Linked DNA regions of Arabidopsis thaliana. The protein of the gene in region 1 interacts with the protein of each later gene in a pairwise test. Each region holds a gene or a part of one and is shown in the gene's direction. Other genes may lie near its edges. The genes, in order: AMT1;3 and AT3G56370.

What was found.
Region 2: the proteins of AMT1;3 (region 1) and AT3G56370 interact in a protein complementation assay, tested with the Arabidopsis thaliana proteins (one large-scale study listed by BioGRID).

The regions. Positions count from the first base shown.
Region 1 is NC_003074.8:8,804,762-8,809,215, reverse strand, and holds AMT1;3 (ammonium transporter 1;3), read left to right. Parts: upstream 1-1,755; 5' UTR 1,756-1,861; coding exon 1,862-3,358; 3' UTR 3,359-3,697; downstream 3,698-4,454.
Region 2 is NC_003074.8:20,898,340-20,905,117, reverse strand, and holds AT3G56370 (Leucine-rich repeat protein kinase family protein), read left to right. Parts: upstream 1-2,037; 5' UTR 2,038-2,283; intron 2,284-2,657; 5' UTR 2,658-2,727; coding exon 2,728-4,157; intron 4,158-4,250; coding exon 4,251-5,715; 3' UTR 5,716-6,019; downstream 6,020-6,778.

The DNA.
Region 1 (4,454 bases):
AGATTTGAATGGTACTACTTAGAATCCAGCAGGGTTCTTTAAAGTCATCATGAAGCAATGCAAAGTCTACCACTCTTGGCGTAATTGTTTTTTGGCACAAAAGTTAATGCAAAAGTCTTGATTATCGCAATTTTTCTTATGATGCCTTTGGTTTCTAACATCAGAGGATAAAAAAAGAATTTCACGAACAAAAATTGTGAATTTTGATATGCATAGAGGCGAGCTATAGACTCCCTAACGTGCTATTGCGTCGAGCCGTGGTGCTTACCTAGTTACACAGTATAACAAGCCTGCTTTAGTTTTATTTCATAAACCAATATAATGTAAATCACTTACTATGGCTTTTCGTATTTAGTAAACAATTTTACATTTATAATTTTCAGTTGACCTAAATTAAAAAATATGTACTACAATTAATCAATAGTTACTACGTATTACTAAAGAATCAATATTTGTTATGTGGTAATCAATGATGTCACGTCAATTCTTGACATTATTTTGTACGATTTAGAAAGCTACCGTCTACTAAAATATGTGCATAATTTAACGTTCATTATTTTAGAAAACAGTTTGCTTTGTCTATTTTTCTGAGTGTCAACTCTCATTTACAACTCATCAGTAAATATATAGATAACAAGTCACAAGTGTCTCCCATAATGATTAAGTTAGGTTGACTTAAAACATGATTAAGGTCAGACACACACACACATACATATATAGAAAGCTTTCAGTTTTTAGAACTAGTTAGTGACAATAAAAAGCCTATTGGTGAAACATCAGCACTTGTAACAACTTTTAAGTATATTTATTCAAATACATCATAATAGATTTTTGATCAAAAGAGATCATCATGTTCCTAAAAGTAATACTTGACTTGAATTTTCATGGCTTGGCACAAACTGAGAGATAAATGTCTTTTTTCAATCATTAAATATCTTAAAATATATATATATATATATATATATATATATCTTAAACATGAATGTTTTTGTTTTGGTATAAACGTGAATTATTCATGAACTGTTAATAGGTTTCAATGTCAATTGGATCGAATTATTGTATATATCTCTTGCTTGAAACTATATGTCGTGTGTCTTCATTTTTTTGTTTTCCTAATTGAATACTTTATACATGCATGTAGTATTATTATACAAAACCAAGATAATTTTTTTTAATGCTTCTGTTGATGATCTGAGTAATTTTGGACATATCTAAGAGTTAAGGGTGTAAAGTGCAATTTTCAGCAAATAAAACGTGGTTCCCGCTAACCCATGTTATCATTTTTGGTTTCAACCTTCAGCAAACTTAATTAATATTTGGTTATGAACTTTATTAAAATTTTGCAAGATTATCATAAGATTGTCGTATAAAGAGTGCTGAATCTTGACTTAATTTCATAAAACTGCTGATCTAAAATCGACATCTATGTAGTAAGTTCTGATCGGTTTGCTTGAACATATACGGTTGAGCTAGGACAATTATTCTTTGATTTATTACTTTAAATACTAGTATCAATTTTATTCACAAATTTATTTTTGTAATTTTTTTATACAAGCCTTTAATTTACCTTTTTTTTATTCACACATTACATGGCAATCACTTAATCACCAAAAACCGTATAGGATTAGGATCGTAATTTGCAAGTTATTAAGAAGATTTGGCAGATTACATCTCTAATTCAATAATGTTGTTACGTCACATAACTTCTTAAATAATTGATAAACTCTCTTAAATACGAACTTAATTGGTCTAGCCGGAATCTAAAGTCAACCCTAAACTCCTCCTTCTTCCTTTTAAGAGACACACAAGAGACAACCTTTCTTCTCCGTATCTCTCTTTCTCTCTCTCAGCTCTCTCAAACATGTCAGGAGCAATAACATGCTCTGCGGCCGATCTCGCCACCCTACTTGGCCCCAACGCCACGGCGGCGGCCGACTACATTTGCGGCCAATTAGGCACCGTTAACAACAAGTTCACCGATGCAGCCTTCGCCATAGACAACACCTACCTCCTCTTCTCTGCCTACCTTGTCTTCGCCATGCAGCTCGGCTTCGCTATGCTTTGTGCTGGTTCTGTTAGAGCCAAGAATACGATGAACATCATGCTTACCAATGTCCTTGACGCTGCAGCCGGAGGACTCTTCTACTATCTCTTTGGTTACGCCTTTGCCTTTGGAGGATCCTCCGAAGGGTTCATTGGAAGACACAACTTTGCTCTTAGAGACTTTCCGACTCCCACAGCTGATTACTCTTTCTTCCTCTACCAATGGGCGTTCGCAATCGCGGCCGCTGGAATCACAAGTGGTTCGATCGCAGAGAGGACTCAGTTCGTGGCTTACTTGATATACTCTTCTTTCTTAACCGGATTTGTTTACCCGGTTGTCTCTCACTGGTTTTGGTCCCCGGATGGATGGGCCAGTCCCTTTCGTTCAGCGGATGATCGTTTGTTTAGCACCGGAGCCATTGACTTTGCTGGCTCCGGTGTTGTTCACATGGTTGGTGGCATAGCAGGTTTATGGGGTGCTCTTATTGAAGGTCCTCGTCGTGGTCGGTTCGAGAAAGGTGGTCGCGCTATTGCTCTGCGCGGCCACTCTGCCTCGCTAGTAGTCTTAGGAACCTTCCTCCTATGGTTTGGATGGTATGGTTTCAACCCCGGTTCCTTCACTAAGATACTCGTTCCGTATAATTCTGGTTCCAACTACGGCCAATGGAGCGGAATCGGCCGTACAGCGGTTAACACCACACTCTCAGGATGCACAGCAGCTCTAACCACACTCTTTGGTAAACGTCTCCTATCAGGCCACTGGAACGTAACGGACGTTTGCAACGGGTTACTCGGTGGGTTTGCGGCCATAACCGCAGGTTGCTCCGTCGTAGAGCCATGGGCAGCGATTGTGTGCGGCTTCATGGCTTCTGTCGTCCTTATCGGATGCAACAAGCTCGCGGAGCTTGTACAATATGATGATCCACTCGAGGCAGCCCAACTACATGGAGGGTGTGGCGCGTGGGGGTTGATATTCGTAGGATTGTTTGCCAAAGAGAAGTATCTAAACGAGGTTTATGGCGCCACCCCGGGAAGGCCATATGGACTATTTATGGGCGGAGGAGGGAAGCTGTTGGGAGCACAATTGGTTCAAATACTTGTGATTGTAGGATGGGTTAGTGCCACAATGGGAACACTCTTCTTCATCCTCAAAAGGCTCAATCTGCTTAGGATCTCGGAGCAGCATGAAATGCAAGGGATGGATATGACACGTCACGGTGGCTTTGCTTATATCTACCATGATAATGATGATGAGTCTCATAGAGTGGATCCTGGATCTCCTTTCCCTCGATCAGCTACTCCTCCTCGCGTTTAATTTTCAACTTTTTGGTAATTTATTACCGTTTAAGTATTGTTTGGGTTTTGGTTTTGAAATATAAATATTTGGATGTTTTGGTTTGTTTTAAGTGACCTATCGTCTTTTTGTGTTTATAAGTGTTTTAGTTTATGTTTTTTTTTTTTTTCTTGAATTTTAATTTTACATGCCTCGGCTAATGTTTATGCTATTTCTTAGAAATTTATATATACAACTTTTGGTGATCCAAAAAGGAGAGTTATGCATATACTGTATACAACTTTGCTTAGGTTTTTGTTCTGCCGACGGCATTAGGAAATTGGAGTACACAAAAGTTGTTCTTAGAATAATATAAATTCTGAAAAATCATTTGTGTACCATTTCGTACCAAAAGCAGAACTTAGTCATTCCCTTATGTACACGTAAAGCGATTTTTTCCAATTAGTTAACTAGCCACGCTTAGGTACACGTAGATATTATCTTTTACTTGAACGATGTTGGTTAATAAATAATACTAGAAGAAATATGACATGTCATTACATCTATGTAACTGGTCACTTGTTTAGAACTATTGAACTAAGCCTAATGGGTTTTATTAGCCTAACAATTGTTGCTATTAATCGTACAAACTAAAATTAAAATATAAATCAAATTCTTGCGTCCTCGATAACTTTAAACAAAGGAGTATGACCCATATTTTGTGGTTGATAAATTTTAGCACCTAATATTTCAATAGTATTTTTTATTTATTTCAAATTCTGCTAAACAAAAATTTTTATAACATATATTCCTTGTTTGTATACACTTTCGAGACCTGTAGAATCATGGAATTACGATGCAATTCCAGTAGCTTATACCTTGCACATCATCTTTTTGTGCATATTAGTCGTCAAACTGTATTTAAATATTCTCAAACGTATATTTCATATGTCACCCAAACAAAGACAGAACATTGTACAAGAATTTTGATTACCTTTAACGGGTCGTAGTAAGAAAAAATATTAAAATAATTACGAACCAGTTAAATATTCTTGCCCGTATAGTTTAGACTTAGAGTTTTATTTTATTTTAATTATCTATCGGTAATCCGACATTTTACCACCCAACTAATTTCTTA
Region 2 (6,778 bases), about 12 Mb from region 1:
ATTCTCTGGAAACTGGTAAGAAACTTGGTGTTTTATGTCAGTGACAGTGCTTTGTGATCTTGTACGATGATAACGAAAATCCAAATATTAATTTTTAATTTCCCATTTGTTTGGCTTTTCTAATCGTGCGTATAATGAAGATGCAAATTTATAATCATATTTAATTTTCAAAATGGATCACAAATCTGTATCAGAATCTCAGTTACGAAGTCCCCATGATTCTCTAAAATTTAAGATATATTATCATTTTTAGTATTTGAATTTTTAAACTATGGGCTTGTTCGATGTGTATATTATTATTTGTCAATTTTAATTATCGTGAAAACCTCAAATTTTAATACGAAATCTTTGACCGATATGATAGCTGCATAGTTGCATGGGCCAGCCTTGTAACGCGTTATAAGTAGCTGCGAGTCGCATTTCTTTAGTTCAATTTGTTTTCTTTCCTGAAATATAATTCGGACTGTAGAACTTTGATAAGCCTTATTATTATCTGAGCCCATTTATCGTTTCTCATTAATGGGCCTCTAATGGAAGAGTTGGACCCATCTTATCCGTAGTTATTTACCATGGAATAAAAAATGAAACTGTAAGTAATCAATAATTAAATAAATATAAGAAAATTTGGAATTTTACATCACCGGAAAGTAAATATTTTACCTTTTAATGGCTGGTCCTAAATGCCAATCCTGATATGACAGAGGAAGATTCGAGTAAAAATTGAATGTGGAAATAAATACTAACTGTAGAAAACAAACAAAGGGTAAATTCTTCATATAGATGGAAAGCGAAGAACAGTAAATGTGAATTCGCTACGGTCCGGCTCACACTGCCCAAAAAATTCCTCGAAAGCTCTTAAAAACAGTAGTAAATTTGACCCTATATTTTTAGAATACATTAAAAAGTAAAAAAGGCCTCTTTGTTAAATTGCAAATAGAAACAAATAGTAAATTCCAAAATTTCCATGAAGGGTTGTTTTCCTTCCATGGGGAAAAGAGTTATTTTTCATTGTTTATTTCATAATAAATAACTTTTACTGTCAAAAGGAATATAAAATTTTAAAACATAGGTATGGGAGAGAGACCGAAGTCTGATAAAATGTCTTGACTCGGACCAAATCTCAAACGAGAAAGACAACAATTAAAAAAATTCCAAGAGCATGCTTAACGGATTATAATATTTTTTTCAACATCATTTGTTCTATTATCTGTTTTTTTTAATGTTTTATTTTATGGCAATAAGTGTTTGACACTTAGTTATTCAACCGCATTTCAATCTGTAGGAAAAGTTTACATAATGTATGATTCCTTGCACAAACAGAAGATCCAAAATTTACATCTGTAGCTCCTCCAAGTCAACCAAAATCCTTAGGTTTGTGATCCAATTTCAAAACCCCATAATTTTTCAAGAAAATTTGTAAACCCATAATTAATAAGTTTGATGCATTGACTACTGACCAGGACATTGTACATAAATGAACAATAACATTATGGTTGCAATTATTAATGATCTCTAAGCACCACAAAATATTTTTTCCAGGACACCATCATCATTCCTCACCAACTTACTTTAATGTTCTTACTTCAAAAAACAAAATAGAGAATCAAAATAAAAAAATGAAAAACCAAAACTATGGTGACCACTTTAACCACTGTCTCTTTCTGCATAATTTTTTACCCAAAATACCAATTCTCTGCATGAGAATAACAGAACCAACCACATTCCACATTATTTCCATTTTATGTGAAAGATTATTTTCTAATTAGTTGAATCATACCAAGAGGCCACAGAGCAGCATGTAAACCCATTAAAGAAAGTTTCTATTATTTGGGAAGGATAATTTAGTCATATTCAAATTTATAGTTTCTTTCTTTATGAGTTGGCCAATCATTTATTCATTTTCCCACTTACTATACCAACACAAAATAAAAATAAAAGCCACGTGTCAGCCAAGTCGGATTCGTCAAACCCAACAAAATAAATACACGTGTCAATTAAAGAGTTTTAATGAGTCCACCCACCTTCCTCGGGCCCCACACTCTCTTCTTTCCAGCCCGTTGATAAAGGCAGCTTTTAATTACTCTCTCTGCTCTCTTTTTTTTTCTTTATTGGCTTTTTTCTCTTCTTCCCAAATTCACTCTTCTTTTAAAGCTACAAAACCTAACAAAGTTGAAGAAGAAGAAGAAGCTCGTGCTCTCTCACTTTCTTTTCCTACGGTGTTTTTTTTCCCCCTGAGCTGCAACATTCTTCGTCGGAAATCTTCCCGGAGAAAATTCTTACTAGGTGAGAATTCCTCATTTCCAGATCGTAACTGTCCAATGACTCCTTTACTTAAAAAAACTCAAGTTATTTTGCTCAACATTTACTTCAGCCATTCACTTGAAGGTTGAATATTTCTTCAATTTCTATGAATTTCAAGTAAACTGTAGCTACTTCTATTCATATAACTAGCCTTTGTTTTACCGGATTTTTCTTCATTGTTTTTTGCTTTGTTTTGCTTCCTCCGTTGGCCGAAATGTAGCCGTTGAGATAGATTTTTGTTCTTTTCTTCTACTAAATCTAACGCCTAAGAATACGAACAAACAAAGTTTTTGTTTTGAGATGTACTGTTTTTTTTTTTCTCTTGTGTTCACCAATTTTCTTCTTTCTAATTTCAGCTCTACATAACTGAAAATGGAGGTCTTCCGCAACTAAAATCTGTTCAACGGAGAAGAGGGTTGTGGAAAGATGTACAAAGCACTGATTTTTACAGTCTTGTTGGTGTCGGCAGTAGCTCCGGTGAGATCTCTAGACCCGCCTTTAAACGACGACGTTTTAGGGCTCATTGTCTTCAAAGCCGATTTACGAGATCCAGAGCAAAAGCTAGCTTCTTGGAACGAAGATGACTACACTCCTTGTAGTTGGAACGGAGTCAAATGCCATCCGAGGACGAATCGAGTCACTGAGTTAAATCTAGATGGCTTCTCTCTGTCTGGTCGAATTGGTCGTGGCCTACTTCAGCTTCAGTTTCTTCATAAGCTCTCTCTGTCCAACAACAATCTCACGGGAATCATTAACCCTAATATGCTGCTGAGCCTTGTTAACCTTAAGGTTGTTGACTTGAGTAGCAATGGCTTGTCTGGTTCGCTTCCTGATGAGTTTTTCAGGCAATGTGGGTCATTAAGAGTTTTATCTCTGGCGAAGAACAAACTAACGGGGAAGATTCCGGTTAGTATAAGCTCGTGCTCGTCTCTTGCTGCTTTAAACTTGTCTTCCAATGGTTTTTCTGGTTCTATGCCTTTGGGGATTTGGTCTTTGAACACTCTAAGATCACTTGATTTGTCGAGGAATGAGTTAGAGGGAGAGTTTCCAGAGAAGATAGATAGATTGAACAACTTGCGTGCGCTTGATTTGAGTAGAAACCGGTTATCTGGTCCTATTCCTAGCGAAATTGGGAGCTGTATGCTGCTGAAGACTATTGATCTTAGTGAAAACTCTCTATCAGGAAGCTTACCAAATACATTTCAGCAGCTCAGTTTGTGTTATTCTCTGAACTTGGGAAAGAATGCGTTAGAAGGTGAAGTTCCAAAGTGGATAGGAGAAATGAGGAGTCTTGAGACTTTGGATCTTTCCATGAATAAGTTTTCAGGGCAGGTTCCAGACTCCATAGGCAACCTTCTAGCACTGAAAGTTCTCAACTTTTCTGGGAATGGGCTTATTGGTAGCTTGCCGGTCTCAACAGCCAACTGTATCAACCTCTTGGCCTTAGATTTAAGTGGGAATTCACTAACTGGAAAGCTTCCCATGTGGCTATTTCAAGATGGTTCTCGTGATGTGTCTGCATTAAAGAATGATAACTCTACTGGAGGTATCAAGAAGATCCAGGTTTTGGATCTCTCCCACAATGCATTCTCTGGCGAGATTGGAGCTGGTCTAGGAGATCTTAGAGACCTGGAGGGATTGCATCTGTCCAGAAACTCTCTTACCGGCCCCATCCCCAGTACCATTGGGGAACTAAAGCACTTGAGCGTCCTTGATGTGAGTCACAATCAGCTCAATGGAATGATTCCTCGAGAAACAGGTGGAGCTGTTTCTTTGGAGGAGTTGAGACTTGAAAATAACTTGTTGGAGGGAAATATTCCATCTTCCATCAAGAATTGCAGTTCCCTTCGGTCTTTGTAAGTCTCTTTTGCTTTAGGTTGCATTCTGTTAAGATTTTCCCATTGAAGATTATGTCTTAACTGTGTTCTGTTTCATGCTTCTTTCTACAGGATCCTGTCACATAACAAGCTGCTAGGCTCAATTCCACCAGAGCTCGCTAAACTTACAAGACTCGAAGAAGTCGACTTATCATTTAATGAACTGGCCGGAACACTTCCTAAACAGTTGGCTAATCTCGGCTATCTTCACACATTCAACATATCTCATAACCATCTCTTTGGGGAACTACCTGCAGGTGGAATCTTCAACGGTTTATCCCCAAGTTCAGTATCAGGAAACCCGGGAATTTGCGGTGCTGTTGTCAATAAGTCTTGTCCTGCCATCTCCCCTAAACCGATTGTGTTGAATCCTAATGCAACTTTCGATCCTTACAATGGTGAAATAGTGCCTCCAGGTGCTGGTCACAAAAGGATACTGCTTAGTATATCTTCTTTGATAGCCATTAGTGCTGCTGCAGCCATTGTGGTTGGTGTAATAGCCATCACGGTACTTAATCTGAGAGTGCGCGCATCAACGGTTTCAAGATCAGCAGTACCGCTCACGTTCTCAGGCGGAGATGACTTCAGTCGATCTCCCACTACTGATAGCAACTCAGGGAAGCTGGTGATGTTCTCTGGTGAACCTGATTTCAGCACTGGAACACATGCTCTGCTTAACAAAGACTGTGAGCTTGGTCGAGGTGGATTTGGAGCGGTGTACAGAACAGTTATCAGAGATGGGTATCCTGTAGCTATCAAGAAGCTCACTGTCTCGAGTCTTGTCAAGTCTCAGGACGAATTCGAAAGAGAGGTGAAGAAACTTGGAAAACTCAGGCATTCGAATCTGGTTAAACTCGAAGGATATTACTGGACAACTTCTCTCCAGCTTCTGATCTATGAGTTTCTCTCTGGTGGGAGTTTATACAAACAGTTGCACGAAGCACCAGGAGGTAATAGTTCGCTTTCTTGGAATGATCGGTTCAACATTATCCTTGGTACAGCGAAATGCTTAGCTTACTTGCACCAATCAAACATCATCCACTACAACATCAAATCGAGCAACGTGTTGCTAGACAGCTCTGGTGAGCCTAAAGTAGGAGACTACGGATTAGCGAGGCTGTTACCTATGCTAGATAGGTACGTGCTGAGTAGCAAGATACAGAGTGCGTTGGGATACATGGCTCCAGAGTTTGCTTGTAGAACGGTGAAAATAACAGAGAAATGTGATGTTTATGGATTTGGAGTCTTGGTCCTTGAAGTGGTTACAGGTAAAAAGCCTGTGGAGTATATGGAAGATGATGTTGTGGTTTTGTGTGATATGGTGAGAGAAGCTCTTGAAGATGGAAGAGCAGATGAATGTATTGACCCAAGGCTGCAAGGGAAGTTTCCGGTAGAAGAAGCGGTTGCAGTGATAAAGCTAGGGCTTATTTGCACTTCTCAGGTTCCATCAAGTAGACCACATATGGGAGAAGCTGTTAACATATTGAGGATGATCAGATGCCCTTCAGGGAGCTCAGATGAGTTGGGTTCAAGTTGAAAAGAAGGTTAAAGACTAACATGTTTTTTCACCAAGTTCCGGCGAAGAGGAATCCGGTTTGTTCATTTGGGGGTTTTAAGAGAAATCCTTGTTTGTGTTTGTTTTTTGATAATCTCTTATGTGTTATCTTTTGTGTCTGTTAGTTTCAATTTCAATGTTTGTAGCTTCTTCTATTTATTGTTCTTGTAACATTTTTAGGGCTGTATCGGATTTGTCTTCACCGGGTTCCATAATATGGGACTCTTTCGATGAAATCTTAAGTATTATTATGAAAGAAAGCCTGTAGTCTTCATTTCAGGTTCTGAACCATCTTTTAGCAGTCGTAGAAGATAAGAGCTTTCTTGTGAGACAAATAAAAACTTAGGGTTGAGAAAAACAAGAATCAAGATAAAACTTAGTGACTTCGTGTGATGATGCTCTCTGAACAAAGAGAGTATAAAATAACTTAAGAAGCTTCATTTGTTGTAACCATGTGCATGGGACTCTGTGAAAACTCAACAATTTAATGGGTCTGATCTTTTATTGGATTATGGGAATCGAAGAAACGTCTCAAGAATCTGTAATTAAAATACATTATTCATTAGTATCTTTTTGAGGGATAATATAAGTACATTTTTAACAGAAGAACCCTAGTTTCAATGGCCGATAAAAGAGGAATGGAGCATGCCTTGTCTGAAACAGACCACGTTTTTCTCTCTTGGAGTTGGGAAAGACGAAATTAGTACTACAATCTACGTTGTCTAGCCTCGGTAATTTGCAACATTTTGACATTTTAACTCATAAGTTAAAAATCCATTTCAATATTGTACATGATAGCATTAAAGTGAGATGGCATCTAACGTTTTGACTTTCTAAGCCAAATATGCTAACACTTTTTTTTTCCATTTGAAATGGAACCTGAAAAAATAAGTTACTTAAGGGACATTTTCCATTTATAATTTTTTTCTTTTTCCATATACAGCTTATTATTATATTACCGATCAATTCTTCGGTTTATAACTAGGTTGGAGAAAAAAATAATTCATCTTTCTATACACATTTTTTCATGTCATTAATATATACA